7 separate regions of the Mus musculus genome follow, and all the other regions are reported to be linked to region 1. The links are microRNA targets in miRTarBase. Many come from high-throughput screens and were not tested one by one. Region 1 holds a microRNA gene; each other region holds the end of a gene's coding sequence.

Region 1 (4,068 bases):
ACTTTCCTTGTGTAAAAATAAACACCAAAACAAAAATCCCCCCCAAAAACACTATCTAAGCCAAGTTGTACATGACATTATATATGTAAAATAAAGTACAATTTCACTTAATTCAGTCTTCAAATATCTTTTATTGGAAGGCCATGCATTGCCTTCATTTATTGTATTTGAAATCACTGTACAGTTACTTTTGTGAAAACACTGCCTGCATTTTCTAGTACAAAAAAAACCTAAAAATTGTTTCAGGAATGTAGAGAAATATCCAACTTAAATAGCGAAAAAAGTGCACCATAATTACTGCTGCACTGCAGTCATTTCTGCATTTCCCATGTTTCTTAAATAACTATCTTGTCTGATAACACACAATATAAAGAGCAATTATGAAAAACAGACATTTACATATACTTCTAAAGTCTTATTGAGAATACCCTGTTGGCATGGGATAGCCAATCATAGGCGCAGCAGCTGCGGTAGCAGGATATGCATATGCCTGTTGGTTCATACCATTGTGCATATTTGCAACATTACTTCCATATTGCTGAGTGCTATCATAACCGTTCTGGTAAGTCCCTGTTGGATTACCAGTCCTAAAACTGGTCTGTATGCCAGCAGATACAAAATTACTTCCAAAGCTCCCATTGGTGTAATTTGCAGCACTGTAAACACCATTCTGAGTTTTAGCCCCAAAATCTCTCTTAAGCAGATTAGAGTAGCCTCTGTCATAGTTTTCCCTGTCTCTAAAGGTATTAAATCCACCCCTTTTGCCTGCAGAGTATCTGTCACGACGATCGTCCTTCATGCCTCCTCTACCCCTGGAACGACCTGTCAAGAAAGTAAGTGGAAATTGATCAATTTTTATCTGTGGCATAAGTGTGGTAAGATAGGAGAGAGTTAGATAGCTCTATTTATGTTGGGTCTTAAGTGCTTTTAGATTCTTTAGGTTTCAAAATAAGAAGTACTCATTCTTCCGATCCCACTTTGTAGACAAGAGGTAACTGCCACCTACCAGAAACATCTCTTACGAAGATCCTTACCTGAACCTCTGTCTTCGACCAACTGAAGCAACTTGGGATTAATTGCTTGATTAGCTTCCCGAAGCACAGAGATAAGGTCGCTCACTTGCTTTATGTTATTAGGTGTAAAGAAAGTGTATGCTGTGCCTGTTTTGGTACTGCGAGCAGTTCTTCCAATTCGATGAATATAATCCTCTGAGGAGTTAGGGTAGTCATAATTGATGACAAATTTCACATCTTCCACATCTGTAAGGTGTTGCAGTGTGGCAAAATAGCAATGTACGGAGTTTTGCACACCACAACAGCCAGACCAAAAATAAAAAGTTAGACAATTGTATTCCCAAGAAGGTACGGGCTGAAAAAAATACAGTTAAAATGGTTATCCATTTCCTGTAGGAACACCATTGAGGTAGGAAAAAAGGGCAGGGTAGGAAAAAAAAAAAACCAAAACACCCAAAAAACAACAAAAAAATTTGCACATGTCAGCTGTCTTAACACCCACCCACTGACAGCCTATCAAGGGAATGTGTGTTCTCCTTAGCACATTCCCAAATTGACAGTCCCCTTACAGATCATCAAGTGACATCTGAATGCTTCTGCGCAGTAGGGCCAATTAAAAGTTTCTCAGCAATCTCTTCATGTGCTCATTTTTGAGGACCTTTTAACAAAAATGTAAAGGTCCTTTGCATTACACTCATCAGAAGTTCAAAACTCTGGCCACACTGCTTGTCTTGCCAAGACCTTACAACTGCAGCTGCAAGAAAAACATACCTGTCCCCCAAAAGTTGTTTTAATGCACTGTGTCTCGTCTAGGCAAGCGCTTCCAAGAAGCCAGGATTCACTTGAGAATGTGTCTCTCTCTGGCAGGTCTCGACATGACGACTACTGTGTAGGTGAGGGAGGAACTTTCAAGGCACTTTCTTTTCCCACTGACTATGTGTGAGAAGTTGGTCCTGCTCTAGGTCTCATGTGCCAGTACTCACCAATTTGTAAAAGGCTTTTAAAGCTGCTCTCTCCATTTCAAACTTGAACAAAAATTTCATTGAACATTGAAGTTTGGAAATATTTCTTCGACATTTCAGCAAACTCACTGAAACTCAAAGACCCACAGATCACAGTGAACAGTTTGAAACAATGCTGTACCATGGCAATCATGCAAAGCATGGGACAGATGAAATACCACGGCAGTGAACTGTGAGGTAACTTCCATTTTTTTCCCCCGGAGAGAACAGTTTATGGGGCAGAGGTGGTATGTTCTGCCCTTTGAAGATTACTGGCACACTTTCAGCTTTTCACCTCTCTAATCGACTGGAAGCAGCCAGCCGATCACTAGTCCTCCATCCCCCTCGAGTCCTCCGATTGTCATGCCTAGGCCTTGCCACAAAGACTGCACCTTTATGTGAAAAAAACTTAGAAAAAATGCAGGTTAAAGAAAGCAATAAACTTTCTTTAAAAAAAACTACATGGAGATCTTCTGGGAAACCAAGCCATGAATTCGAGTTTGTACTAACCTAGCCCTCTGGAGGCCACATCGGTAGCAATCAGAATAGGAGCTTTTCCATGTTTGAATTCTATAAAGACAACCATGAATAATCATTAATGCAAGCAAATGATGTTATCAAGCTACAAACTAATCTTATTTGAAATACATACCATTTAGAACCCAGTCACGTTCCTGCTGACTCTTGTCACCATGGATGCCCATGGCAGGCCACCTATACCAAGAATTAAATTATCAGTAGTATACCCAACTTAAAACTCTTGTCAAGACTCTACCAATATCTATTCCCACTGTACTTCATCTTGGCCAAGTGTTTTCCCACTAAGCATTGCAACCCAGAGCCTACTACAAGTCACTGGAACGAATCCATACAATTACCCCTATATCACAGCGCATGATTCCCAAAAAACACTAGCCCCAGATCAAAGTACTTTTAAGTCTGCTTTGACTCAGGAAACCACATACCCATCTCTCCTCATTTTTCTGGTAAGTTCATCACATCTTCTTTTGGTTTCAACAAAAACAATAGTTTTATTCTCCTTCTCACTCATGATTTCTTCCATCAGACGAATAAGCCTAAAGATGAAGAAAAACTCACCATTTTTAAAAGGATATAAAAACAAAACCAAACACAACCCTGATTTTTTGCTTAGTGAATCCAAATGTCAAACCCACTAAGCCACCACACATACAGATTTTCAGGTGTATCACTTTATGCGTGCTTGTGTAGTGACTAGGTTCAAAAACTATGAGTGTTTTCCTCATGCAAGCCAAGCAAGTTCTTCATATCACACCAAGCCATATCACCAACAAATGGACTTTTAAAAGAACATATAGCACACTACCTTAATTTTATTTTGAGACAATTTTCAGAATTGATTACTCTTAGTTTATGTAAGATTTTTCTCAATTTGTAAAAATGTAAACTCACTTTTCATCCTTTTCGACATCATGACATACATCCACAATCTGAAGAATGTTATGGTTTGCACTCAGTTCCAGTGCACCAATATTGATATGAATATAGTCTTTCAGGAAATCTTCAGCAAGCTGTCTTACTTCTTTTGGCCAAGTTGCACTCCACATTAGTGTTTGCCTATCAGGCTGAAGATTTAAGGAAGCAAGTTACACTTCAATCTTAAGAGCATTCCTAGAACTGATTTTTATGATAACATAAAGATACTTACTCTTATTTGATCCACAATTTTCCTTATCTGGGGTTCAAATCCCATATCAAGCATCCTATCAGCTTCATCAAGGACAAGGTAAGTTGTTCTTCTCAGATTGGTTTTCCCACACTCTAAAAAGTCAATCAGTCTTCCAGGTGTTGCAATACAGATTTCCACACCTTTAATTAAATAAATAAAAAGGAGTAGATGCTTTAACTATAATACACAAAACCATCATCTCCATCAGTGACAAAGATCCCCCTTTATGGTCACACACCTCTTTCCAAATCACGAATCTGTGGTCCTTTGGGAGCACCACCATAGATGCAAGTAGACTTCAAGCGACAAGCTCGACAATATTCAGCAGCCACTTGCTGCACCTGCT
Region 2 (4,068 bases), not on the chromosome of region 1:
AGCCAAGATCCAAGAGTCCCACCCCTAAAAACTGCCAGCCAAGAATCCCGTTCCTGGCATAGCTGTTCTTTAAAATTGAAGAGAGGATAAAGGCTTTCTCAAATAGAAGACAAGGGAGCCATCCTAACATCCCCACCACAGGCAGTTCTTCAAGCCGACACTAGAAACAAGGAAAGACACAAAAGCATAAAACTCCCAGGGAAAGGAACTAAGTCCAGATCCAACGAGAACGCTACTGGATGGGATGCAAACCTTCCAACCATTTACTTCCACTTTAAAGGTTTAAAGACAACACCATTAAAATGATAATCACAACCATGAGTTATTAGGTGCACAGTATACAAACAAGTTAAGCATGGTGTTTAAAATACAAAATGTCGGAGGAAGAGCAAGTTTTCATATGTGCGCCCAGCTTTTAAAACAGCCTGCGGTATCACTGGACTCCTGAGGCTCACTGCAATCACAACTCCAAACCTCCACTAGACAGACAGGAGACTCCACCAAAGAACATCACCGCGCATACAAGGGGCCAAGAGGGACATCCACAGCCACGTGGAAGTGAGTCCTCACCTACCCGTAACAGGAGACATTTTAGAGATGTGCAAAAAATGTGTAAATACTATGCTCCTGAACAACTAATGAGCCATACGGGGGCTTAAGAAAATTAAATTCCATACAAAAAAAAATTAAAGTTATTAACATGTCTGCGCTAACACCATGATCTGCAGATGCCGTGCAATCCTAGGAAATTCCCAATGCTGTATTTTCCCAAAAAGCAAAAGCTTCCTTACTATGTACACAGATCCACAAGATTCCCAACAGCCAAAGATATGCCAAGAAGGAAAACAAAACTGAAATTATTACCGTTATCAAGCTTCAAAATATATTACAAAGACACAGCAATGAAAACAGCATTCTGCTAACCTAAGAAGAGATGCAGAACCCAATGGGAAACAACAGAGGCCGCAGAAGTAGACCTACACCGGCGTGGCTAGGACTTGACAAGGAAGCCAAGACACCCAGTGAATGGAGAAGAGCTGTCTTCAATAAATGCTGTTGGAAAAACTGGATGTCCACATGCAAAGGAACGAAGCTGGACCCTTATCTCACACTATATGAAAAGCAACTCAAAACAGATTGAAGACTTAAGCATAAGACCTCACTCCAAGAAAGGATTAGATAAATGCAAGAAATGCTATGGCGCTATTTATAGTTACGTCTTCAGCAACGAAAAGGAAAACGGGCCCACCAGACTGCTTCCAAATAAAAGTTTTCTAGCCGTGTAAATAGTCAAGGGTTAAGACTGACTACAAAATAGGAGAAAATAGTTGATAAATACTTACTATCTAGGATAGGTGGTATTAAAATTCAACAACAAAATGAAATAACTCAATTAAAAATGGGCAATGGACTTGAACAGACGTTTTTCAAAACAAGTCACAAAAGTGATTGATACATACATGAAAATATACTCAACATCACTAATCATCAGGGAGTTGCATATAAAACCATAGTTAAAACCATATCAAAAAAAATCAAGGTTTGCACTGTTGAGAGTACGGGAGAGGGGATGCACACACAGTAGGAGGTCATATACAGGTACATGTAACAGGAAAACAGTATGGAGCCCTCCAGAAAGTCACAAAGGCCACTCTTATGACCCAGGAATTCCACTTCTAGGTATGCACCCAAAGGCATCAAGCCAGTCTGTTGAGGAACACCTGCAGCATCATTCATCTCAGTGCTACTCACAAAGCTAGGGTAGCGTCTGCCCGGTTGTCTACCCACGGCTGAATCAGTAAAGACAACAAAGGGCACACGCCTGTACACACAGATACACTACTTGTGGCAACAGGGATGAACTTTATGGACATTGTGTTAAATGAAAAAGGCCATGCACAAAAGGAAGACAACAGCACAATCTCACTATGTCTAAATGTTCACGGCAGTAGTTACGGGGGCGGAGAGGACGTCATAGCTAAGGAGGCAGTGAAGGGTCAGCTATGAAATGAATGGAGAAAATAGTACAAGCCATACGTGAAAACATGGAAGAACGTGGGATTTCATTCAGGAGGAAGAAGCAGTACAGCACAGAGATTGCTGTTGAAATCTATACATCCTATATTCTTCGAAAAATATATTCTTGGAAGTATTCTCACCACAAGAAGTAAGAATGTGAGGCTCAATTCAGCCACTCCATGATGTTTACATAGTAAAAAATCATGTACGAAGTAAATACAATTTTTACTTTTTAGTTAAAAAAAAAAAGAGAGAGACACAGTCTAGCGGTGGTGGCGCACACCTTTAATCCAGCACTTGGGAGGCAGAGGCAGGTGGATTTCTGAGTTCAAGGCCAGCCTGGCTGACAGAGTGAGTTCCAGGACAGCCAGGGCTATACAGAGAAACCCTGTCTCGAAAAAAACCAAACAACAACAGCAACAACAACATCAACAACAAAAAAGAAGAAAGAAAGAAAGAAAAAAAGAAAAAGAAAAGAAGGAAAGAAAAGATAAAACGTTAAGAGAGACAAAGCAACCCCTCCCCCAGCGGAATGTTTACTCCATCACAGGCACTGGGTGGTCTGGACAAGGCTCAGGGTTTGGGTCACTCACAGCTCAGTTCTCAGTTCTGGTTCTTACTCAGGCATTTTGCTACAGCAGCCTGAGCAGAATAAGGCACACCCTAAAATAATTCCAGTTATGAAGATCAGTGAAGAGATTTTAGGGCACCAAGAAGTTGCGATATGCTCTTTGCTGCTGCTGTGACCAAGACAGAAGGTGCTTTCTTGTCCTTTGCGCTGACACTAGCTGCTCACACGCTGGCTCCACAGTGTTCCCTCTGTGCCCGCAGCTCAGACGCAGGGGTACAAACAGCAGACTCGAAGGACTCGAAGGACTTCCGGGGCTCTCAGTGTCGCGACATTCCCCCGACAGAACTCAACTCCAAAGCCAACACGTTTTCATGAAAATATATTTAATCTTATTCAAATTAGAAATCCCGTATCTCTCCCCAGTTATTTTCAAACAAAGGACCCCTGTCAACAATCGTTGAAAATGGTAAGAGGCAATCTCATGTTGATTGAAAGGTAGATAATCAAACACTTTTGACGGGTGACCTATCTACAAGGACTTGTTCACTTCAAAGGAAGGGATCCCATCGCTGCTATGAATCTGAAGTGTGAAGAAGGTCTATGCTATGTCAGTTAACACTGGTGTAATACACGGAGGACTGGGCTCTCCAGGGAAGGGTGTCACCGAGCAGAGACAAACACAGAACAACAGAAAGGGTAGGAGCCACTTCTGAGAATACTGGCTAGTGCTGAGCTCAAGATTAGTCAGAGGGAAAAAAATCAATGTCCGTGACTTTAAAGAGAAGCGAGTTCTCTTTGGTACTACGGACCTTCCCGTGATTCTAGAATCCAGATTACAGAAAGGGATAAAAAGATGAACAAATCACAAAACTAGAGACTCCTGGCTCTGTGCCTCCAGGAATGGCAGTGCCCACTTGCTCATCCTGCCAGCACCCTCATCAGAAGTAGATGTGGCTGCTCTGCCAGGCCTCCACCAGTGGGGGCCTGGTTCCTCATTGGGTCTAGCACCAAGTGCGGGTCTCCTGAGAGGTCAGCACCTACTGGGCCATCTTTCGGATCATGTAGTTCAGGATGCCTCCATTGTGGAAGTACGTGAGCTCCACATCAGTGTCGAACCTCATCACGGCCTGGAAGGTCTTCCCAGTGTCCAGCTGCAAGAGCAAAGAGGCAGAGCGCTGCTGAAGGCGGGGCTGAACCGAGACTCCCACCTCAGGGAGACTCCGCCTGGCTTGGCTGCCCACTGGCCTCAGTTGGGGCGTGGTATATGCCCACAGTGCCAGCAGCGGATGGAACCAGTGGTCTCTGCACCCAACAAGAACCCTGGGAATTTATGTGCCCACCAGAGGTTGAGGAGCATTGCAGAATTAATGACACAGGTGTAGCACATGAGAACAAAGTGTCCTCTCAGGGCAGCAGCTATGAGTGACACTGTGACGCTTTGCCCTAAGTCTTTTCTGGACATGCTCTGGGCAGCAGAG
Region 3 (4,068 bases), not on the chromosome of region 1:
AGGTCACAACTCAACCACAGCTTGAAGCAGTGAAAGCAAACTGGGAGTGGAGCAAGGCTGTGAACTCTCATGGCCTGACCACAGTGATGTACTTCTTGCGGCTAGCCTGCCCCTCGATGTAACCTTCAGATAGCACCAGCAACTAGGGATGGAACCTCTGGGGGACAGTTCTTCTTCAAACCATCACAAAGTCTCCTACCTATATCAAAACCAGACAGGCAGAATCACAAAAGGGTAAGCTGTCAACTTCAAGTATTTAAAACCAGAAACAGAAACACATTTTTTTTTTTTTTTTTGGTTTTTCGAGGCAGGGTTTCTCTGTGTAGCCCTGGCTGTCCTGGAACTCACTATGTAGACCAGGCTGGCCTCAAAGTCAGAAATCCGCCTTCCCCTGCCTCCCGAGTGCTGGGATTAAAGGCGTGCGCCACCATGCCCGGCCAGAAACACTTTTTGACACAAAAGAATAAACCCCTGTAGTGGTAAAAGTTAGAACTTAATAAAATATGTAAGAGAAAAAATATTTGGATAACTGACATATGGTAGTTATTTAAAATTCCTAGTGATAACTACATTAAAGATGAAAACACCCAATAAAGTTTCTCAATAGTTTAAGAATTTTTAAATAGGTTATGAATTTTTTAGCAGATTAAAATTAAGTTAAAATACTTTTTTCTTCTCATGGCTAGTTCCATTCCAAGGTAATCATATCACACCAAATTTTCTCTCCCAATGCATTTTCTCATGATTGTATTATTATATCCTTCTTTCAATATAGAAGATCATTCCAAAGTAAGCCCAAATGTTACGACTTGACACTGGCTGTGCTGGTATACAACTATTATTTCAGGACTAGGGAGGAAGAGGCAGGAGGATTGAGGCTTTCAAGGCAAGATTGGGCTAGCTATAAGGAAGACTTTGCCTCAAAAAAAAACAAAACAAAACAAAAAAAAAACAAAACTTGGAAAAACATCAGGCCATGGAAACACCCATCTATAATATCAGCACTTGGGAGACAAAGGCAGGCAAGCCTGTGAGTTGTGGGCCAGCATGATTAGTTACTTCTCTGTTGCTGTGATACATCACCATGCCCAAGGCAACTTAGAAGAGGTAACTTAGGCAAGTTCCAGGCCAGCAGGGGCATGCAGTAAGATCCTGTCTTAATCAGGGTTTCTATTCCTGCACAAGCATCATGACCAGGAAGCAAGTTGGGGAGGAAAGGGTTTATTAAGCTTACACTTCCACACTGCTGTTTATCACCAAGGAAGTCAGGACTGGAACTCAAGCAGGTCAGGGAGCAGGAGCTAATGCAGAGGCCATGGAGGGATGTTCTTTACTGGCTTGCTTCCCCTGGCTTGCTCAGCCTGCTCTCTTATAGAACCAAGATTACCAGCCCAGATATGGTCCCACCCACAAGGGGCCTTTCCCCCTTGATCACTAATTGAGAAAATGCCTTACAGCTGGATCTCATGGAGGCATTTCCTCAACTGAAGCTCCTTTCTCTGTGATAACCCCAGGTGTATCAAGTTGACACAAAACTAGCCAGTACAGATCCTATCTATAAAAAAGAAAAGAAAAAAGAAACAGTACTATATAAAGCAATCGATAAAGCCAAAATTAAATTTTATTTCACATTGATAGAAACTGTGAAAAACATGACATTTTCCCACATTACAGCACACAGTCAATGGAATATTTCTTATACCAAATAAATCTTTACAGATAGAATAACTGAAGTAAATTTATGTTCTTTAAAGTAAAGCAAAATAGTAAATGATTGTTTGAAATTGTTTTAAATCCAGACATTTGGCTTCATTCTATCTAGGACATACCAAAATGATCTTCATATCAATTAGCACCTGTTTATAAAGGTGCTTCTTGGTTGGTTGGAAAACAGCAAGAAAAGCAACCGTTCAGAAATAACCATAATTTTTGCAACATATTCAACTGTGTGGTAACAGTTATAAATATGGGATATATATATAATGTTCTAACCAGTCCTTATATTAAATAATTTTCACCAGTATTTTGAACATGCTGATGATTTAAAATCAAATTATTATTTTAATATTTGTACAGGAGACTGATTATCAAAAGCTCCTTTACTTAAGATGAAAATTTCAAAATAATATGTTACCCAGATAAAAATAAAACATAAGTCTGATTGCTCATCTTGAACAGTATTTGGTTTTAAGCATAACATGTACAGAAAATGTAAACTTAAAATCGGCTATAAGATATTTAAGAAATTATATTTTGAAGCCAGTCACAAGTATTTCTAAATATGCCAAGATATTACTTCCCCTTTAAGTGTTTTACAGAAAAATAAAACCACAGATTTATTACCAGGACTGGAGAGTCTATAACTCTACAGTCTAAAGTTGGACTAAGGTGCAGTTATTTGAAATATATAAACTTAAGTAATGTTTGATTTCTTTTCATATTACCTAGGTTGGAAATACTGTATGTCTGTGTTTCGGTTTGTTTGTTTGTTTGTTTCCGAGACAGGGTTTCTCTGTGTAGCCCTGGCTGTCCTGGAACTCACTCTGTGGACCAGGCTATTGACAGAGATCCGCCTGCCTCTGCCTCCCGAGTGCTGGGATTAAAGGCATGCACCACCACGCCCGGCTATGTCTGTATCTCAAAATGTCAAAATAAAATATATGACAGAGAGGCAATATTAGTTTTCTACGGAAAATCAAAAAAGAACCTTGTTTTTTCTTGAGAAAAATTACATAGAAGGGAAAAAAAGCCTGGTCTCCCAATAGAAGGGCCATTAATTGAAGAATGCAGTATTACTTTTTGACACTCAAAAGCATTATCCCCATTATTAGGGATAATGTAATACCATCTGATTCTTAGCTATTATAGTATCATCTATGTGAATACAAACAGAAAAATACAGACACTGCATGGAGACTGAACAATTGTGGAGTAAAACTATAGTCTAACTCACAGAACTAAGAAGTCACTTACATCTTACCTGAACACATCTTCACAGAACATACTAGTAATTTTCAAATGATGTAATAAAACTGTTTGTTATCTTATTTTGCTGAATTTGAGACAAAGAATCTAGTTGCTTCACTTACCTACTGTAATACTTAGTATATTCTGAATTGTATAATACAAATATATGCATAGACACTTAAAAGGATCATATATTTCCCATGAGGGTAACATCATTTAGTCTGTATCATTGGTATGTATTTGCAAAACATTTTAACACTGCACACATTAGAAGTTCTATGGTCAGTCATGGGAAGAGGTTTATACTCTACTACTGTGATGCTGGTGAACTTCTACTCAAGGCCTCTTAGTGATGTCAATCAATTGGAGGTAGGAGCTTATCAATGAAGTGCTTGACATCCATCATTTCCTGTTTGGAAAAAATGATTTAATAAACAGCTACAGAAGTCAGAAAGTACATTTCCGAGAATGCCACTAATAAAATCCATGCAGGTGAGGATGTTTTACTACTACATAAAGGTAATGTAAGAAGGATGAGGCGCCAACAGAAAGTTCATAACATTTCTTTTCTTTTCTTTATTTTATTTTATTTTTTTGGTTTTTAGAGACAGGGTTTCTCTGTGTAGCTCTGGCTGTCCTGGAACTCACTCTGTAGACCAGACTGGCCTCGAACTCAAAAATCCACCTGCCTCTACCTCCCAAGTGCTGGGATTAAAGGCGTGCGCTACCACTGTCCGGTGTAACATTTCTTAGGATTATTATTGTACACCAAAACAAAAGCTCCCATATGATCTAGTTCCATGCACGTGCAAAGTCTGTGTTTTCAAATGCATAAATAAAACACTGGGGAATCAGGAAGTTCAGAATGATACTAACCTATACAGAGAACTTTTCAGTAATATCTACTTACTGACAACTGAATATCAGCAAAAAAGCTTTGCTTTCCCACTTCCTTATTAAAATGAAATGATAGATGCAGAGCTAATCTTTTTTGTATGTGTACCTTTCATCAAGAATTACATACAGCTATATATTTGAAAGAAAGTATGTGAGGCAGATCTTGAAAAAGATGACAGTAGCTTTCTCCTGGAAGCCTCCCAC
Region 4 (4,068 bases), not on the chromosome of region 1:
GGAGTAACACTACATACACAAAGGTGAAGAATACCATTAGACCTGGGAGTGGTGTCCTTTGCTGATGGTCAATTCTAGTTATAACACGTTTGAACCTCTTTTCTCAATAATAATAATACACAATAACCCAACTCAAAAACAGAAGAAGTATTAATGAATACAACCATGAATAATAATACAAAGAAAATACTGCCTCAGAGAACATGGACACAACAGCTGTCATTAAAATCTCCAACATGGCACGCATAGACACAGCAAAGGCCAAGAGGCATTATGGGAATAAAACCTGTCCAGCCAGTTATCATTTCGAGGTCCCACTCTCTCCTTACTGTTGAACTAATGCTAGAGAAACAGGACTGGTAAGGAATTTGGTAATGAAATGTTTTTTAATGCACACAGGTGCCAGTCCTTGACATTTTTAGAAAACACAGTATTTTATAAAGGAATCTGATTCCTGTGGCCATTCTCTTAGATTTGTATTTTTATTGACATTACATGTAAATTATTAAAGCCTCCCAAAAAAAGCCTAGCCAAGTCTTACAGCATAATATTAATCTGCTATATAGCTAATTACTAATTAGTATTTAATATAAAAATAATGATATTCAAAGGTCAAAGCAGCAAGCAGTGACCACAATCCCTCTGACAGTTCTGGGCAACTATCTTTCACATATTGGTACAGAAATCTAGTTAGCTCTTTCAACATGGCTCACCAAGTTTTCCAAGCTATCCGATCTATTGGGTTTTCCAGCCCCTCCAAGTGCTCATGTCTCAGGATGGAATCTCTGTTTGAAATCCTAGAGTCATTCATTCACTATTTCTTAACAAAATCTTACAGAAAGTATGTAAACTGTATCCTTTGTCTCTTTGAGTACAATGGTTGAGGACAAAGTTATTAAACATTCTTCCAACCACTTAAGTTACACATAAAAGCACCTACAAACTTAGACTTAAAAAGATTCACAGTGCACTGCACCTCGGAACACATGCAGTTGGATCCTAAGGATGTTTAAAAGCGATTTTAAAGTCTCACCTCTCAAACACAAATAATAATAAGGCCGACGTATCTACTGTTCCCTCTAGAGTCTGTCTCTAAATGCGGCACTACACAGAAGCACATTACTGCATATTCAGAGTCCTCATCACTAGATCCTATGAAGAAACGCTAACATAGCTCAGAGAAGAAATCCCGTCCTGTGCTAAATATGGTCTCCCAGCTAAACTGTACAGTGAAGAAGTGTGTACGCTGGACTTACATTAACAAGAACACCAACTTAACATTTTCTGCATAGTTGAGTCACATCACACATACAAACCTTACTCTCTCAACATTTCAGCCTGTTGAGAGACCTAAAGCCTAAAGTTATTGTAAATGCACCCCAACCATGCCCTTGCTTTGTTCCACAGTGCATTAAATGAAGCAGCACATCACTGGTTGGTTCTTACAGTCAACCACTTTAAGGGCCATGGACCTTGTGCTAGCTAGTTGATTTTGCTCTAGTATGGAGAGCTGAGAATCCAACCTCTACAGGCACCAGGGACTGACTGAAGTGCTCACTTAAGAAGAATATCTCTCTCTCTCTCTCTCTCTCTCTCTCTCTCTCTCTCTCTCACACACACACACACACAATGGTTTCTTGGTGACAGTCAGGGAGTGACAGTGGCTCACTGCCAGGCAAGCTTCAGTTTTCACTCCCTTAACCATTTAACAGAAATCTGGAATGCTGGGACCAATTATAAATATGGCTCAAGAAGACCCAAGCAAAGCAGCTGTATTTCTGACAAGAACAGTAAGGGCTTCCAAACACAATCATATAATGCATTAAAAAGCAAAGGTCACAGAAGGATTCACAAAGTAGTCGCATAGAAGATTCCAAACATACTGTATCACTGTGAAGTCTCCTGCTTAGCACCGAGTGACACTTTCATGAATAAATATAATTTCTTCTTTAAAATCAGTCATTTAAAAGCTAAAGCAAAGTAGTAATACCAAGTGAATTCCTTACAATAATAGCCCTTCCTTTTAAGTCCCATGGGGTTAGGCAGAACCCCCAGTTAAATAGGCTACATATACAGCATAGAGATTTCTATAGTACTATTTATAAGCAGAGATATACTTTGTGGATACCACTTGTTAAAACCGCACACGACAGACGCACGTGTACACATGCACTCTAACAGCACAGTCCACCCCAGAAGAGATTCTCAGCGAGGTCAGGGGCAGCCAACATCATATTGCCTCCTTAAAGCTCTGGTGATTGTCCTCAACAACAGGCGATCTCTGCAAAGTGGGCACTGTCACCCGTGTTTGGTTTAAGAATTCTGAAGGAGCAAAATACAAAATACATTCCTACGTGTGATCTAAGTACATTACTTCAAGGGTCGGTCCCCTAGTGACATGCTGGACTTACTGGTAAACTGCAGATCCCCTTCTTTCTCACGTTGTAACTCAGGGGCTTCAAGATATTAATGAAAAGCATGTCAGTCTAGTATTACTGCAAACTGGAACCTAACATAATACCAGCTTACACAGATCAACGTTGAGATGCAATATAGAACTAAGAATGAAGTTTTCCACACAGACTCACAACTAGAATACGCATAGACGTTTCACACAGGCATAATCACGACACAATACTGAACGGACGGAGGCAGGAGAGTCAAGGCATGACCTGGAGTAACTGTCAGCTATTGCTTCCATGCTCTCTGCTCCAGCACTCACAGGTTTTTGACAGCAAACATCAGAGCTCAATATCCACAGCATCAGCTCCCCACTGACTCCATCTCTCTCCAGGCTGTGGATGTGGTCCTGATGAAGTGCTCGAGGTTCACTGTGCAGCTCCAGTTGGAAGGTTAGACTCTCAGTGGTTAGAGGCAGAGATGAGTAAACGCCTGCATCCTCACCTCACGGTTCAGCTCTGATGCCCAGTACATTGGTAACTGGGGTTTTAAGTTCCTTTAAGTTTTCAATAAGCAAGCTTTTTGCAATCACTAAGATGGGGAGGTGAAACACTCCTATTGACATGGCTACTTGCTGATGATGCAATCAAAACAACTCTTGATGAGAATATAAAACAAAACACAGTCACACAAAAATAAGGGAGAGACAAAAAAAAACACAGGCAACTAAAACTTGGTTCCAAACACTGAAATGGTAAATCCATATAAAAAGTTCTAAATGCATTTACAGTGCAAACTTGTGTTTCTTTCTAGTTTCTCGTCTGTACAGAACATCTCTTTAGAAACATGGCCTCCCTGCACTTCTTTCAGATACCTGAGAAAGGTAAGGCTTGAGGAGACAGCCACTCACACGCAACAGGTCTCAGATCGAGGGACTTCTGCAATACTCTTGCTGGCTCAAAGGTCCAAGATTTTCATTATAGCATTTTGGTCAAACTTGAAACTCAGAAAGGCTCTGGATGAAAATGGGAACTTGCAATGTCCGTTGCATGCCACAGAATGTCCCTCAGCATGTTCTACCGACGGCTCTTCACCAGAACAAGGCAGGTCACATGTGGCATCTGCTTAGGAAACAGAATTAGTAGACAATAACTCAGAAAGTTAACCAGAAATTGCCTTTCACGCACTCACATGTTTAAGTTAAGTCTTCCTGACTCGATCCTAAACACCTCACTTTAGGATTCAGTGGAATCGGTTACTGCTTATTTCTACTTATTTCTATTAATTCAGATATTTAGCCTACCTTTTAAGACCCCTGCTTTCGAAATGGGCATGTTTTTAGCACCTATATTTGTATTTTGTGCAACAGTAACCAAAGCTCCTTGGCAGAGGTTATTATAAAAATTACAATTTAAAAAAACTGTAAAGATTAGAAGTATAGGAAAATACAGTTGAAGTTATCAAATTTTAGTAGATTAAAACAGAAAACCTCAAAAGCTTTTTGACAACCAGTCTTAGCAATGCCTTTTAGATACAGTACCAAAAGTCAAAAGAAACATGTGAAAACACATCAATTCTAACTGCTAATGGTAAGCCCCATGTTTAGAAGACAAGCATAGCTTTCCATAGTAAGGTTAGAGCATCTTTGTTCATTTCTTACTCTTGTGT
Region 5 (4,068 bases), not on the chromosome of region 1:
GATCTCTATCTTGGCGTGACTCTCCTGTCAGTCCACCACATCCCAGGGTGAATGGGTTGGAGGAGTGACAGAGAGGGCAAGGGCAGTCTGTGATCTCTCGCCACCACATGCTGCTCGTCAGTGCTCGATGAAGCCACCAGTGCCCTGACAGAGGAAGCAGAGAGTGAGCTCTACCGAATTGGTCAGCAACTGGGGATGACATTTATCAGCGTGGGACATCGTCCCAGCCTTGAGAAGGTACCCAGGCCACAGGGGTGGCCTGCTGAGGAGAAAGAACCCAAAGGCTGGGCCTGGGGGTGTCAGGTAGCAGAGGGATTGGGGTGACTGCTCTGGCAGCTGTCTGACCTCAGTGGGGTCCTGGGCTCTTGCAGTTTCACTCCTGGGTTCTGAGACTCCACGGAGGAGGAAGCTGGGAGCTGACTAGAATCAAACTGGAATGAAGGCAAGCATGCAGGTTCATCTGAGCAGCGGAGCTCCGGGGCCTGCGGTGCCCACAGACAAGGAAGCCCGATGAGCCGGGAAGGAGCCACAGATTCACCTGAGGTCCTACACAGGAGCCCTAGCAGCCTCTAGCCCTGCCCACGGGTGGCGCTACAGGGAACACTGAGTCTCCCCAGCGCTGCTCCCATGACTTCTTACTTCAGATGACGTTTGCTGCTGAAAAACGGAATGAACTGTAAGACGTGAAGGGCCAGGGTGAGAAAACTATCGGACTCAAGAACTGGTGATGCCGGGCGGCGGCGCACGCCTTTAATCCCAGCACTTGGGAGGCAGAGGCAGGCGGATTTCTGAGTTCGAAGCCAGCCTGGTCTACAGAGTGAGTTCCAGGACAGCCAGGGCTATACAGAGAAACCCTGTCTCGAAAAAAAAAAAAAAAAGAAAGAAAAAGAAAACTGGTGACATTTCACAATGATAGCCTTTTAAAAAAAACTTTAATAACCATTTAAAATTTATAACTTTTTAAAAAAGAATAAATATTAAAAATATGGTTTTTCTTCTACAATAGACTGATTTTTTTATTTAAAGATTTTTATTTATTTATTATATGTAAGTACACTGTAGCTGTCTTCAGAAACTTTTTTTTTTCTTTTCTCTCTGGTCCTGCTTGCTCTGGCCCAAAGATTTATTTATTTATTATATTACACTGTACACTGTAGCTGTCTTCAGACACACCAGAAGAGGGCATCAGATCCCAGGACAGATGGTTGTGAGCCATCATGCGGGTGCTGGGAATTGAACTCAGGAGCAGGGACTGCTCTCTCTCCAGCCCCTAGAGTGATCTTTTTTATAGCATCTCTACACTTGTCCTCTAGGGTTTGAGGCACACTCGTGCCCTATACCTGCTGTGCTTTTCCACTCAATCTGTGTCCCTCCTGTCCACCCAATGGCCTGGAGACAGCGGGTGTGGCCAGTGCCAAGACCACCGTCTCTTGGGATCCTCTGTCTTTATCTTTTGTTCGTCTGTTTCATTACTGCGGATTGAACCTAGGGCCTTATGAACCCTACGCGGCTGTGATACCACTGATACACATCTTTATTATCTAATTCAAGAAAATTATCCCTTCCCCCCTTACTAGCTAAAATAAGGTTGGTAGATGTCTTCTTTTGTTTTCCCCACCCCCACCCCAAAATCTGTATTAGGAACAAGAAAAAAAAAAAAAACTAAGCCAAGTACATACCTGTTGCCCCAAAGGAATGGTGGCAAAGACAGATGAATCATGAGTGTGACACTCTTCTGGGTTGCATGGTAAGACCCCTATAAATTAAGTAGCAGATTCCCAAAAGCATAAGATAAAGTTACTAATGCCAAAGATGTTTTCTTTTGTGATATTTCTATAGTGTGTGTGTTGTCACACTGCTGCGGGGTGGGACGTTTTTGTTTTTATTTATTTATCTTATTTTTATTTTTTTGTTTTGTTTTTCAAGACAGGGTTTTTCTGTTTAGCCCTGGTTATCCTGGAACTTGATCTGTAGACCTGGCTAGCCCTGAACTCAGAGATCTGCCTGCCTCTGTCTCCCAAGCTGAAATTAAAGGCGTGTGCCACCACCACCACCACCTAGCCACTTTAAAAAAAAAAAAAAAGAAGACAGTCTCACTGTATACCCTTGGCTAGTCTGGAATTCACTATTTAGACTAGGTTTAGACTTGAACTTAGAGATCTGCCTGCCTCTCCCCTGAGTGCAGGTATTAAAGGCTTGTGCCACCATGCCCAACCTAGATGGGACCTTTAAAAAAGAAGAGAAAAGAAAAGAAAAGAAAAGAAAAGAAAAGAAAAGAAAAGAAAAGAAAAAGATGTGTGTGTGTGTGTACACGTACAGGCACTAGTGCACTCATGTAGTTGACTGACAACTTTCAGGAGTCCATTCTCTCCTTTCCCAACCGAGTCCCTAGGATTGAACTTAGATGGTCAGGCTTGGACAGCAGGCATCTTTACCCATTGATCCATCTCCCTGACCCAGAGGTGGGCAGACTCTTAGGGGTGATTAGGTCCAGAGTGCTCTGCCCTCATGAATAGGCTGAGCCAGTCCCAGCGTGGAGGAGCTAACTGTAAAGGTGGATGGTTCCATTCTCCCTCCCTTCCCCGCCCCCCTCTCCCTCCCTCCCTCCTTCTATCTCCTGGATTCCTACCTGGTCACTTGTTGCCTTCTGCACCATGACCCATCGAGGAGCCTCTCGACAGATACAGCATTTTAATCTTAGCGTGCCCAGTTTGCCAGTCCTGGGACAAAAAGCAATCTGGGCGTGGTGGCCTGTGCCAGATCTCTGAGTTCAGGGCTAGCCAGGTCTACAGGAGACTGGGGCTGACCCATCAGGAGTCTCACATACTTAACTAATTTGGAGCCAGCGTGGGTTATATGAGATCTGGTCTCCTGAACACAAAACTAAAATTATAACTAGAGAAATCAGCAGGGCTGGAGAGATAGCTCAGTAGTTAAGAGCACTGACTGCTCTTCCAGAGGTCCTGAGTTTAATTGCCAGCAACCACATGGTGGCTCACAACCATCTGTAATGGGATCCAATGTACTCTTCTAGTGTGTGTCTGAAGACAGCTACAGTGTACTCACATAAAATAAATAAATAAATCTTTAAAAAAAAAATCAGCAAAACTGAGAACATATTCTAGGGGAAGGAACTTGGTGTGTGTCGTCTCCCAGGGTCTTCTTGGACCTTTGCCGGGCCTGCGAGGTGGTGTCATGGGTGATGAGTCCACCACACTTGGGGAAGTTGAAGGTAAGAGTCTACATGTATTAAACCCACGTTTGGGTCCACTCTGACTTTCTTCCCGTCTTCAGGAAATACTGTTTTCATGGAAGACTGTTACCCCCCTGAGTGTAGGCATAGGAATCCCCAGATGAGGTAGGACTCTGGCCTGGCTCAGAAGTCTGTTCCCTGCCTTGTCTGTCTGTCTGTCTTTCTTTTTTTTTTTTTTTTTTTTTTTTGGTTTTTTGAGACAGGGTTTCTCTGTGTAGCCCTGGCTGTCCTAGAACTCACTCTGTAGACCAGGCTGGCCTCAAACTCAGAAATCTGCCTGCCTCTGCCTCCCAAGTGCTGGGATTAAAGGTGTGTGCCACCATGCCCGGCCCTTTCTTTCTTTTAAAGATTTACTTGTTTATTTTATGTATGCAAGTACAGTGATTCTCTCAGACACACCAGAAGGGAGCATCAGATCCCATTACAGATGGTTGTGAGCCACCATGTGGTTTCAGGGAATTGAACTCAGGACCTTTGGAAGAGCAGTCAGTGCTCTTACCCGCTGAGCCATCTCTCTAGCCCATGCCTTGTCTTTCTTGATACCCTGCACCCTACCTACCCCTTCCCAGAGTCTTTCTCCTTTGACACACATGGAAATCATGGGCAGACTTTTCGCTGAACCGGAGCAATTTATGGGAAGACATGGGATATAGGTAAAAGAGACCCTTGAAGAAGAATGTGGACCTTTGAACATACTCTGTCTGTTCAGCTCAGTACCTGTCTTAATGATCTAACTCCTATGTCAGAGGCCAGAAGAGGACATCAGGTCCCCTGGAGCTGGAGTTACAGGCAATTACGAACCGCCTGATATGTGC
Region 6 (4,068 bases), not on the chromosome of region 1:
TGTGCACAGTGAAGAGGGTGCGGAATCCATCCGGACCCGGGCCTCAGAGCTGCTAACCTTACTAAAGATGCCCAGTGTGGCCCAGTTTGTGTTCACACCTCCTGCAGGCGTGTGCCAGCCCCGCTACCACCGGGACACCAACGTGGCCCTGCCTCTGGCTCTGCGCACGGTCAGCCGGCTGGTGGAGAAGGAGGCTGGCCTCCTGCCAGGTTGAAGGGACAGTCACCACCTGAACAGTAGCTACAGCGTGAGAGCCTGGGCAGTCAGCAGTATTGGAGCTGAGCTGCAGGCGTGGGTGACTCGTGAGGCATGGTGGACATGACTGTCAGGATGGGATCACCAGCCCCTGGGGATGAGTCATCTCACCTTGTCTCTGTGGCTGGCCAGTCAGCCTTGAGCAGCCGGTAGGTGACTGAGTGTTACTTCCTAGGCCGAGCAGAAATGGCCTGGTCTGCTTGCTGCTGTTACTCATTTCTGGATTTGGGGGCAGGGAGCAGTGCAGGAAAAATAAACTAAAGAATTATTTATGCTGAGCAGTGGTGGCACATGCCTTTCATCTCAGCACTCAGGAGGTAGAGGCAGGTGGATTTCTGAGTTCAAGGCCAGCCTGGTCTACAGAGTGAGTTCCAGGACAGCCAGGACTACACAGAGAAACCCTGTCTCAAAAAACCAAAAGAGAATTCTTTAATATTACATGTATGTGCTTGCACACACCACAGTGCACACGAGATCAGGAGACAGCTTTTGCTACTCGGTTCTCTCCTCAGCCATGTGGGTCTTGGCTGGTTGCCTGGCTCAGTGACAAGCGCCTTTACCTACTGAGCCATTGTGCCTGCCACCAAGTAAATCTTCCAGTGCTGTGTACAGCCCAGGCCCCTCTCTCTGCCTTCCTTGGACTTGGAGAGCCAGGGAGCCTGGGCTGCTGCCTTCCCACCCTGCCCTCTGTTGAGGGAAATACCTGGGTCCCCTGATTGGCTCCTGTGTCCTTGATGTGACAGAAATGACATGCTCTGGAGCTGAAACTCACAAAGCCCTGAGTTTAATCCTGAGTGTAACCCCAGGCATGGGGTGCACACTGCAATCCCAGCACTCAGCAGGTGGAGTGAAGTTCGAGAAAGGTCAGAAGTTCAAGGTCAGCCTTGGCTAGGTAACAACTTGAAATGCAGCCTGGGCTACAAAAGAAATTGGGCCTAGAAGATGACTCAGCACATAAAAGGCCTTGCTAGATGCCCCTGATGACCCAGGGTTGACCCCTGGATCTCATGTGTAAGGCTGCGTACCATGGTGTGTATGTAGCTGTGAAGACAGCAGTTCAAAGCTCAAAGGCTTGCTACAGCAGTGGAAGAACGAGCTGGAAAGCAAGAACCAACTCTCAGAACGCACGCCATGCCTTGGTCACATAAGACATTTTAAAAGCTAAATAAAACTCAAGGTGTATTCATGAGGGCGCGGTGTCTTCTGGGTCCACATGCAGGTGGTGTTTGCCTAATTATGCTGCTTCCTAACTTAAGGATATGGAAGGCTAGACTTGGAGGACTTTTATGTGCTCCAGTGGTTCTGCACAGAGGCTTCCAGGTTTCATGGTGCTCAAGGGTGCAGGCTCCTGCCTGCTGAGAATTTTTGCAATTTTCCTGAGCCCTGGACAGATAGTTCTTCAGAACTACTCAGGCACTGACAGCACATGGCCACCAGATGGCGCCACCGCACCAGTTTATTGATGCGCACGCCTTTGGCCCCACCCACAACTCCATCCTTCACTTTGTTTCTGGGCTCTGTATTGGGGCTGGAGTTCCCTCAGGAAAAGTTGAATTTAGGCTCCGGCTGAGGTGTGCGGCTAAGTGGGGTGCACCTATCGAGGCCACGGGGTTACTAAAGCCCACGTGGGCCTCGTGTCCGGATTCACGTTCAGGGAGAGCTTTACTTGTTACCACTAGGCCTGTTGGGCCCGGGCCAAACTCCCTCCCCGAGCTGGGCCTGGACAGATGTGTTCAGGGAGTGCTATCTGTTCCTGTGAGGGCAGGAAGGACAGTGTCATTAGTGACTTAAAAAAAAAATTAGCCTTTTGCTTTATTCAGTGAGTGTTTTTGCCTGCATGCATGTCAGCGCGCCATGCGCATGTTTTGCATGCAGAGGTCAGAGAGCCTCAGACCCACTGGAACTGGAGTCGCAAGCTTGTGAGCCCCCATGTGCTGGGAATTGAACCCAGGTCCTCAGGAAGAACTCCTAGTGATCCTAACCACTGAGCCATCTCTGCAGCCCAGAACCTTGGCATCCTTCAGTCACAGGGTACATGGCTCCACCAGCACTGCACAGAAAGTTGATGAAGCCATGCCAGCTTGAACAAGGGCAGAGGTGTTTGAAGACACACTGCCCTCTTCTTGTTGAGCACCAGACAAAGCCAAGTGCCCACTCAGATGGCAGGGGCTGCCCTGGCCCCTCAGAGGGTCACATACGGTATTCAGCCACTCTTCCTACCTTCGTCTGGCTAGAGGCTTGGGCTCCAGGCTCCTAGGCCCCCGTGACGTTGGTGAAGCTTTTACACCTCCTCGGCTGTTATAATCACCTTTCATATGAATGCTTGACAACCCGTTTGCACACATGCCAAGGTTTTAATATGTGGTATGAATGTGTGTGTGTGTGTGTGTGTGTGTGTGCCTGCAATGGAGAGGCTGGGGGTTGGTGCGGAGTGGTTGGTTTCCTCAGTTGCTCTCCACCTAATTGGATTTTTTTCCTTATGTTCTCCTTGGGAAGGCAGAGCATGCGTGGAGCTAAGGACAGATTTCGAGTCTGTTCTGCCCTAGGGGTTGCTCTCACGTTGTCGGGCTCTGCAGCAAGTCCTCTTACCCAGTGATCCATCCCATCAATCTTATATTTTTAAAATAATTTTAGTTTTGAATGAAAATAGTTACTTTCATACAGTTTATTCTGATGAGTTTCCCCTCCCTCATCTCCTCCCAGATCCTCCCATCCCCCTGCCCTTCCAATTTCATATCTTTCTTAAGAAAACAAGCAAGCAAATAGAAAAGACGAACAAGGATTTAAAAAAATGAATAAAATGGGGGGGGGATACTTTTCAGAAAGTAGGAGAAACATACAAATGAGAAACACACACACACACAAGACTAGTAAGGGGGCAGGGGACCCAAACAAAGCAGTATGAGATCTCAAAACATCCCTGTTTTGAGATGTCTGTTAGCCATCTGCTGCTGAGTGTGGGGCCTACCTGTAAGTGGGGTTTGTTTACCCAATGAGGCTCCCTTGGAGAAACAGATTTTTTTCTTTGGTTGGGGATAGGAGCTGGAATCTACTTCCTCATCTCGGCACTGGGACCTGTGGGCTTGGATCTGTGCAAAGCCCACGAAAGCTGCCACGGCCTGTGAGCAAATGTGTGTGTCAGTCCTGTTGTGTCTGGAGGACAGTCTTAGGTGTCATTCATCCCCCCTGGCTTTTACACTCTTTCTGCCTCCTCTTCAGCAGTTTCCGGAGCCCTGAGGGGAGGAATTTGATGGAGACTCCAAGATCTGTCACACTCTGCATACTGGGCAATTGAAACCACTTTTTTTTTTTCAGATGCAGCTAGCATAGATTCAGGCATCTTCCTGTCAAACATACACATCAGCAATACACACAGCAGCAGCATACACACATACACCAGCAATACACATACACACCAGCAATACACACACAGCAGAAGCAGCATACACACACACACACCAGCACTGGGTCACAGGCAGTCAGCACTGGGCCTTTAAACGGATGATGAGACTGTCCCCTCATGCTTGGCATGCGTCACTGACCGAGCGCCTGTATTGTGCTCTTTTTATGAATGGCTAAATAATAAGAACCAAGAAGCCCTGCACAAAGCATCATGACCAAGTTGGCGAGGAAAGGGTTTATTCAGCTTACACTTCCACATTGCTGTTCATCACCCAAGGAAGTCAGGACTGGAACTCAAGCAGATCAGGAAGCAGGAGCTGATGCAGAGGTCATGGAGGGATGTTCCTTCCTTCCTTCCTTCCTTCCTTTTTCTTTCAAGATTTATTTATTATATGTAGTCCACTGTCACTG
Region 7 (4,068 bases), not on the chromosome of region 1:
CACGCCTACGTCTGCCTCCTTCAGCAGGGTGGGTTTACCAGGGACTTTCCATAACTCACTTGATTATTATGGGGTGGGGGTGGAAGGACCTGTGTTCTTCAGTTCTGTGATGTTCATCCTGTTTTCTTTTTGTTTGTTTGTTTTATGTCACATTGTCCCCTTTCAGGAGCAATTGTGCTTGCCTCTGCACATTTTAGAAGAGAAAGGGTTGGGCCAGGTTGCAGTGACAGTCCAGGCCCTCCTGGAGCTTGCCCCACCCAAGCAGCCGCCACCGCAGCAGCCGCAGCAGCAGCAGCCACAGCTCTCTGCTGTCTGAGGACTCCCAGGGCCCTGCATGTTGGCACCATGATGGCACAGCCAAAACAAGGAGCAGGAAGACTTGATTGCTGGCACTGCCTGCTCAGGGCGAGCCCGGTGTGTTCCTAGAAGCACTGTCTTCATGATTCCTGCCAGGAATATTGTGTTCCTTTTCTCCATTTTAGGGGAGATTAAACCCGTTTCCACTATTTTTCGTTTTTAATGAAGACACAGTTTTTTTAAGTGGAACTTGGATTACTGAAGACCTATCATGGAAGACTAAGCTGGCTGTGCTTTCTTCATAGGGAGCAGGCTCGCTTTCCATGCCAGAGCCAGTATTTTCATAGTTGGATGGTAAGCTCTCTTAGAGGACAGACATATTATCTCTGCCAGTTCCCAGGTGTCTACAGCTCAATGGTTTCCACAACTGGACTTCATTCTCTGGAGCATTTGTGAAATCCAGATTTGCATCAAAGGTTGGGATGTGGCCGGAGAACCTGCATTTCTACAGACATTGTTTTTCTCAGGCAGTGGAGACCACTGTTTGAAGGCACACAGTTCTGTGGTTTGAGGGCACCACCCCTACTGCATTTTCAACCACATTTCAATCAAAAGCTGTATTATGATGACTTGGACTTTTCTGTCAAAGAGAGCAAAACCATGGAGAAGCCCTAGGTTCTGCTCAGTATAACAGGTAACTAAGGCCAGTACCCAGGCCCTTCCCCAGGCTTGCCCACCACCACCCCATCTTTTTCTAGACAGTGGTTCCTTGCTCACCCTGCTGTTTCCTGAACAGACACACTCCACACACAGTTGTAAGCTCTGAAGTGTAGCATGCACTGCCCAGCAATGTTTGCATTTGCCTTGGTGAACCCTGCGTTCTGATCCCAGGCTCCTGGACCAGGCACAGCAGACTCGGCTCCTGCTCCTGGGACTGAACACAAAGCTGAGAGGACTGAAGGAAAGACGGTTCTTACAGTCCATGCAGGTAACAGCCAGTTTCCATAGCTACAAGAAAGCACCGAGAACAGCTTCCTGTCTTTCACCTGTCCCCTCCCTAAGACCCTCCACTGTGAGCAGAGAACAGAAGGTCCAAGGGCTCCAGCACAGCGGAGGAGCCTTCATTTAAACACAGCACAGAGCCTTCTCTGCCCCAGAGTTTGGACTCTTTAGTTGTTGTATCTTTGGTGTTTGCTGCAGTTAGAACCCAAATACAGTAATTACATAAAGCTGTTTGTTCTATAGGGTTTTCCCTATAGTTGTTAACTTTTGTGGGTTTCTTCCCAAGGCTTGCATTTCAGAATAGTATTACCCTGCACAGCACCTAAAAGTAACTTTAAGACTGGACCAGGGTTCCATCCCCAGCATCACCTGAAAAAAGGTTCAGAGAGACGCGTGGCCTGGGATTCCCAACATCCCAAAAGTGGAAGCTGGAGGATCAGGATTTGAAGCCCACACCAGGCGATGCAAGCCACCGCCCACTGGGCTGTATTAGACTTTGGCTGGAGAGCTGGCTCAGTAGGTAAGAGCACTTACTGCTCTGGCAGGTCAGGGTTCAGTTTCCAACACCCACAAGTCGGTTCACAACTGCTTGTAACCCCAAGGGTCCACTGCACTCTACTGGCTTCTGCAGGTACCAGGCACATGCATGGTCTACATTTATACATGAAGGTAAAACACTCATGAATAAAAGTAAGTATTAAAAATATATATTCTTCCTCTGAAAGTGACTTTGAACCAAATCATTTTGAATATCTAGTCAAAATAATATTTCTCCTTGTTCGTGCAGAAAAGTATTCATTAGAACGCTGCCACTTTTATTCAAGTTTCAAAGCATGTAACAGCAGCCAGGCACGGTGGCTCATGCCTGTAACTCAGGCGACTAGAGCTCTCGAGAAAAAGTAAGTCTAACCTAGAGCATCGTAGTCCTCACAGAAGAGTAGAACCAGAGCTCAGAGCCTAGCCCGTTCACCAGCAGACCGCAGAGTGGCAGCCAGAGCTTGCCTATGACCAGCTGTGCTGCTGGACCGCAGATTTGCTTCCTCTAGGCAGCATTAAACCTCAGCATCATTTCTAAATTCCATATTTAATTGTACAGAAAATGGGCCCAGAAGACATTACATAATACAACACTTGGAATGGCTACAAGAGTTCCTAAAAGTTGACATTACCGAGCAGGGTGGCACATGCTTTTACTCCCAGCTTTTGAGTGACAGAGGAGACAGATCTTATTCACATATTGAGTTCCAGGACAGCCAGGGCTCCATAGTGAGACCCTCCCTCAGAAAGAGGAGGAGGACATTTTAACACTGCGGCTTTCCTGAGACCTTACTTAATGCACTTACCAAACTAATGCAACTCTGAAGGGTTAGGATACAGTTGCGCAGTGTGAGTCAGCACACAGCAGGTCAGTGCTTCTGTTGGGCCCTGTGGCTTCTTACAGGTTTCCAAATTGGAAAGGACAACTCATTTGGATATTTAACCTTGCTAGACCCCAGCGGGAAATAAAGATAAAGTTAGCCATGTCATAGTCCCCTGACCAGCAATGGCTACCTTGCCAATGGTAAGGTAGATGAGCCAAGTGTCTGCCTGGCTCTGCCCTGCCACCTGCAGAGATGTTATGTCAGCAGTCTGCAGGCTGCCAGGCACTCTGACCAGGATTCCCCTGTAATGAGCAGGTCTGATGAACTTTCCAGAGGAACTTTCCTATCTGCCTAGAACAGACTAGAAAAGGCAGAGCAGTGGGTGGCTTCCAATCCAGCAGCTCTGTAAATACATCCTTGCAACTAATGAAGGAGCCTGCTGTTTCTTTGCCTCTAGTCAGCAGTGACTAATAATGTGGTATGCTGACGAGTCTGATGGACTTTTAAGAACTAAGTACTTAGATGGTTGTAGAAATGAAGGAAAACTTGGTTATTTAGAAGCCTTTTTCATTGCAGTGAGATGGTTTACAGCAGATTTTATTTCTGAAGTGTTATAAACATGTAATTAATAAGTTTTTGTAAACATTGTCCTATATTTGTATGTTTGTAAATATTTGTGTAAGTTCTAAGTATAAATATGTCAGTACTGTGTATGTTATTTTAAATTGCCTGTATGTCATCTTATATGTGGACATTAAAAGCCAATATACTCCAGTAGCATGTAATAAACACTTTAAATTGTTCCAGCCTAAAGCATGGTTTTCTTGCCAGAGACCAGTCATGGAAAGGCCATTTATCTGGCTCACTGAACCTTTGAGGCTCACAGTCTCTTTCTTAAAGAGGTACAGATAGCAGGCTGGCCTGCGTAGGCAGTGGATGAGAAGGCTCCACTCAGGCTGGGGCTGGAGTACAGTCAGAAGTGTGCCTACTAGCATGCATGGAGTCCAAGTTCCATTCCCAACGCTGCATAAACCAGGTATGGTCACTCGCCCCTGTAGTTCTAGCACTTAGGAGGCACAACATGAGGTTCAAGGCCACTAGACTACGTAGTGAATTTGAAACCAACCTGGGCCACATGAGACCCTGCATCAAAAAGTTTAAATTTTATATTCATGAAATATGTGAGACACATTAAGGTAACATTTCTCTCAGGGGAAAAAAAAAAACCACAGTTGAGGGCCAATGAAATGGCTCAGCAGGAAAAGGGGCTTGCTGCCAAGTCCAATGACTTGAGTTTGATATCTGAGACCCAAATAGTACAAAGAGATACATTAGAAGGAAACAATTCTTGGAACCTGTCCTCTGACTCCACCCCCTGCACACTGTGGCATGCACACGTTTCCAAGCC

The links. Region 1 holds the annotated microRNA mmu-miR-3064-5p (UCUGGCUGUUGUGGUGUGCAAA, at 1,302-1,323, opposite strand). A microRNA usually pairs through its seed, bases 2 to 8, with sites in the 3' UTR of a target mRNA and lowers its output. Matches are read on the target gene's strand: a 7mer-m8 pairs with bases 2 to 8, a 7mer-A1 pairs with bases 2 to 7 and ends in A, and an 8mer does both.
Region 2: the mRNA of Aco1 is a reported target of mmu-miR-3064-5p. Seed matches in the 3' UTR shown: 7mer-m8 at 2,359-2,365.
Region 3: miRTarBase lists Lypla1 as a target of mmu-miR-3064-5p. Seed matches in the 3' UTR shown: 7mer-m8 at 2,523-2,529.
Region 4: miRTarBase lists Dcp2 as a target of mmu-miR-3064-5p. The part of its 3' UTR that is shown has no 7-base or 8-base seed match.
Region 5: the mRNA of Abcd4 is a reported target of mmu-miR-3064-5p. Seed matches in the 3' UTR shown: 7mer-m8 at 831-837.
Region 6: miRTarBase lists Ap5z1 as a target of mmu-miR-3064-5p. Seed matches in the 3' UTR shown: 7mer-m8 at 633-639.
Region 7: the mRNA of Lrch3 is a reported target of mmu-miR-3064-5p. Seed matches in the 3' UTR shown: 7mer-m8 at 1,290-1,296, 7mer-m8 at 2,142-2,148, 8mer at 2,288-2,295 and 7mer-m8 at 2,550-2,556.

Annotation. Positions count from the first base shown.
Region 1 is chr11:106,781,435-106,785,502 of GRCm38, forward strand. It overlaps Mir3064 (microRNA 3064), which reads right to left and starts at 1,325; the gene lies at 1,259-1,325. It overlaps Ddx5 (DEAD box helicase 5), which reads right to left. Exons shown (of 13, transcript NM_007840.3): 6 at 3,961-4,068; 7 at 3,702-3,862; 8 at 3,446-3,618; 9 at 2,980-3,090; 10 at 2,667-2,728; 11 at 2,525-2,584; 12 at 1,035-1,259; 13 at 1-822. The coding sequence ends at 416.
Region 2 is chr4:40,197,227-40,201,294 of GRCm38, reverse strand. Aco1 (aconitase 1) reads right to left here. Exons shown (of 21, transcript NM_007386.2): 21 at 2,286-3,741. The coding sequence ends at 3,628. Among named protein-coding and RNA genes, the nearest start is that of Ddx58, 41 kb to the left of the region's middle.
Region 3 is chr1:4,844,271-4,848,338 of GRCm38, reverse strand. It overlaps Lypla1 (lysophospholipase 1), which reads right to left. Exons shown (of 9, transcript NM_008866.3): 9 at 1,604-3,376. The coding sequence ends at 3,323. Among named protein-coding and RNA genes, the nearest start is that of Tcea1, 11 kb to the left of the region's middle.
Region 4 is chr18:44,417,019-44,421,086 of GRCm38, reverse strand. Dcp2 (decapping mRNA 2) reads right to left here. Exons shown (of 11, transcript NM_027490.1): 11 at 1-3,521. The coding sequence ends at 3,358. Among named protein-coding and RNA genes, the nearest start is that of Dcp2, 39 kb to the right of the region's middle.
Region 5 is chr12:84,599,463-84,603,530 of GRCm38, reverse strand. It overlaps Abcd4 (ATP-binding cassette, sub-family D (ALD), member 4), which reads left to right. Exons shown (of 19, transcript NM_008992.2): 18 at 122-237; 19 at 372-1,000. The coding sequence ends at 440. Among named protein-coding and RNA genes, the nearest start is that of Abcd4, 16 kb to the left of the region's middle.
Region 6 is chr5:142,477,273-142,481,340 of GRCm38, forward strand. Ap5z1 (adaptor-related protein complex 5, zeta 1 subunit) reads left to right here. Exons shown (of 17, transcript NM_172725.2): 17 at 1-1,443. The coding sequence ends at 214. Among named protein-coding and RNA genes, the nearest start is that of Ap5z1, 15 kb to the left of the region's middle.
Region 7 is chr16:33,012,175-33,016,242 of GRCm38, forward strand. It overlaps Lrch3 (leucine-rich repeats and calponin homology (CH) domain containing 3), which reads left to right. Exons shown (of 21, transcript NM_001081255.1): 21 at 167-3,855. The coding sequence ends at 316. It overlaps Iqcg (IQ motif containing G), which reads right to left. Exons shown (of 11, transcript NM_178378.3): 11 at 2,096-4,068. Among named protein-coding and RNA genes, the nearest start is that of Iqcg, 42 kb to the right of the region's middle.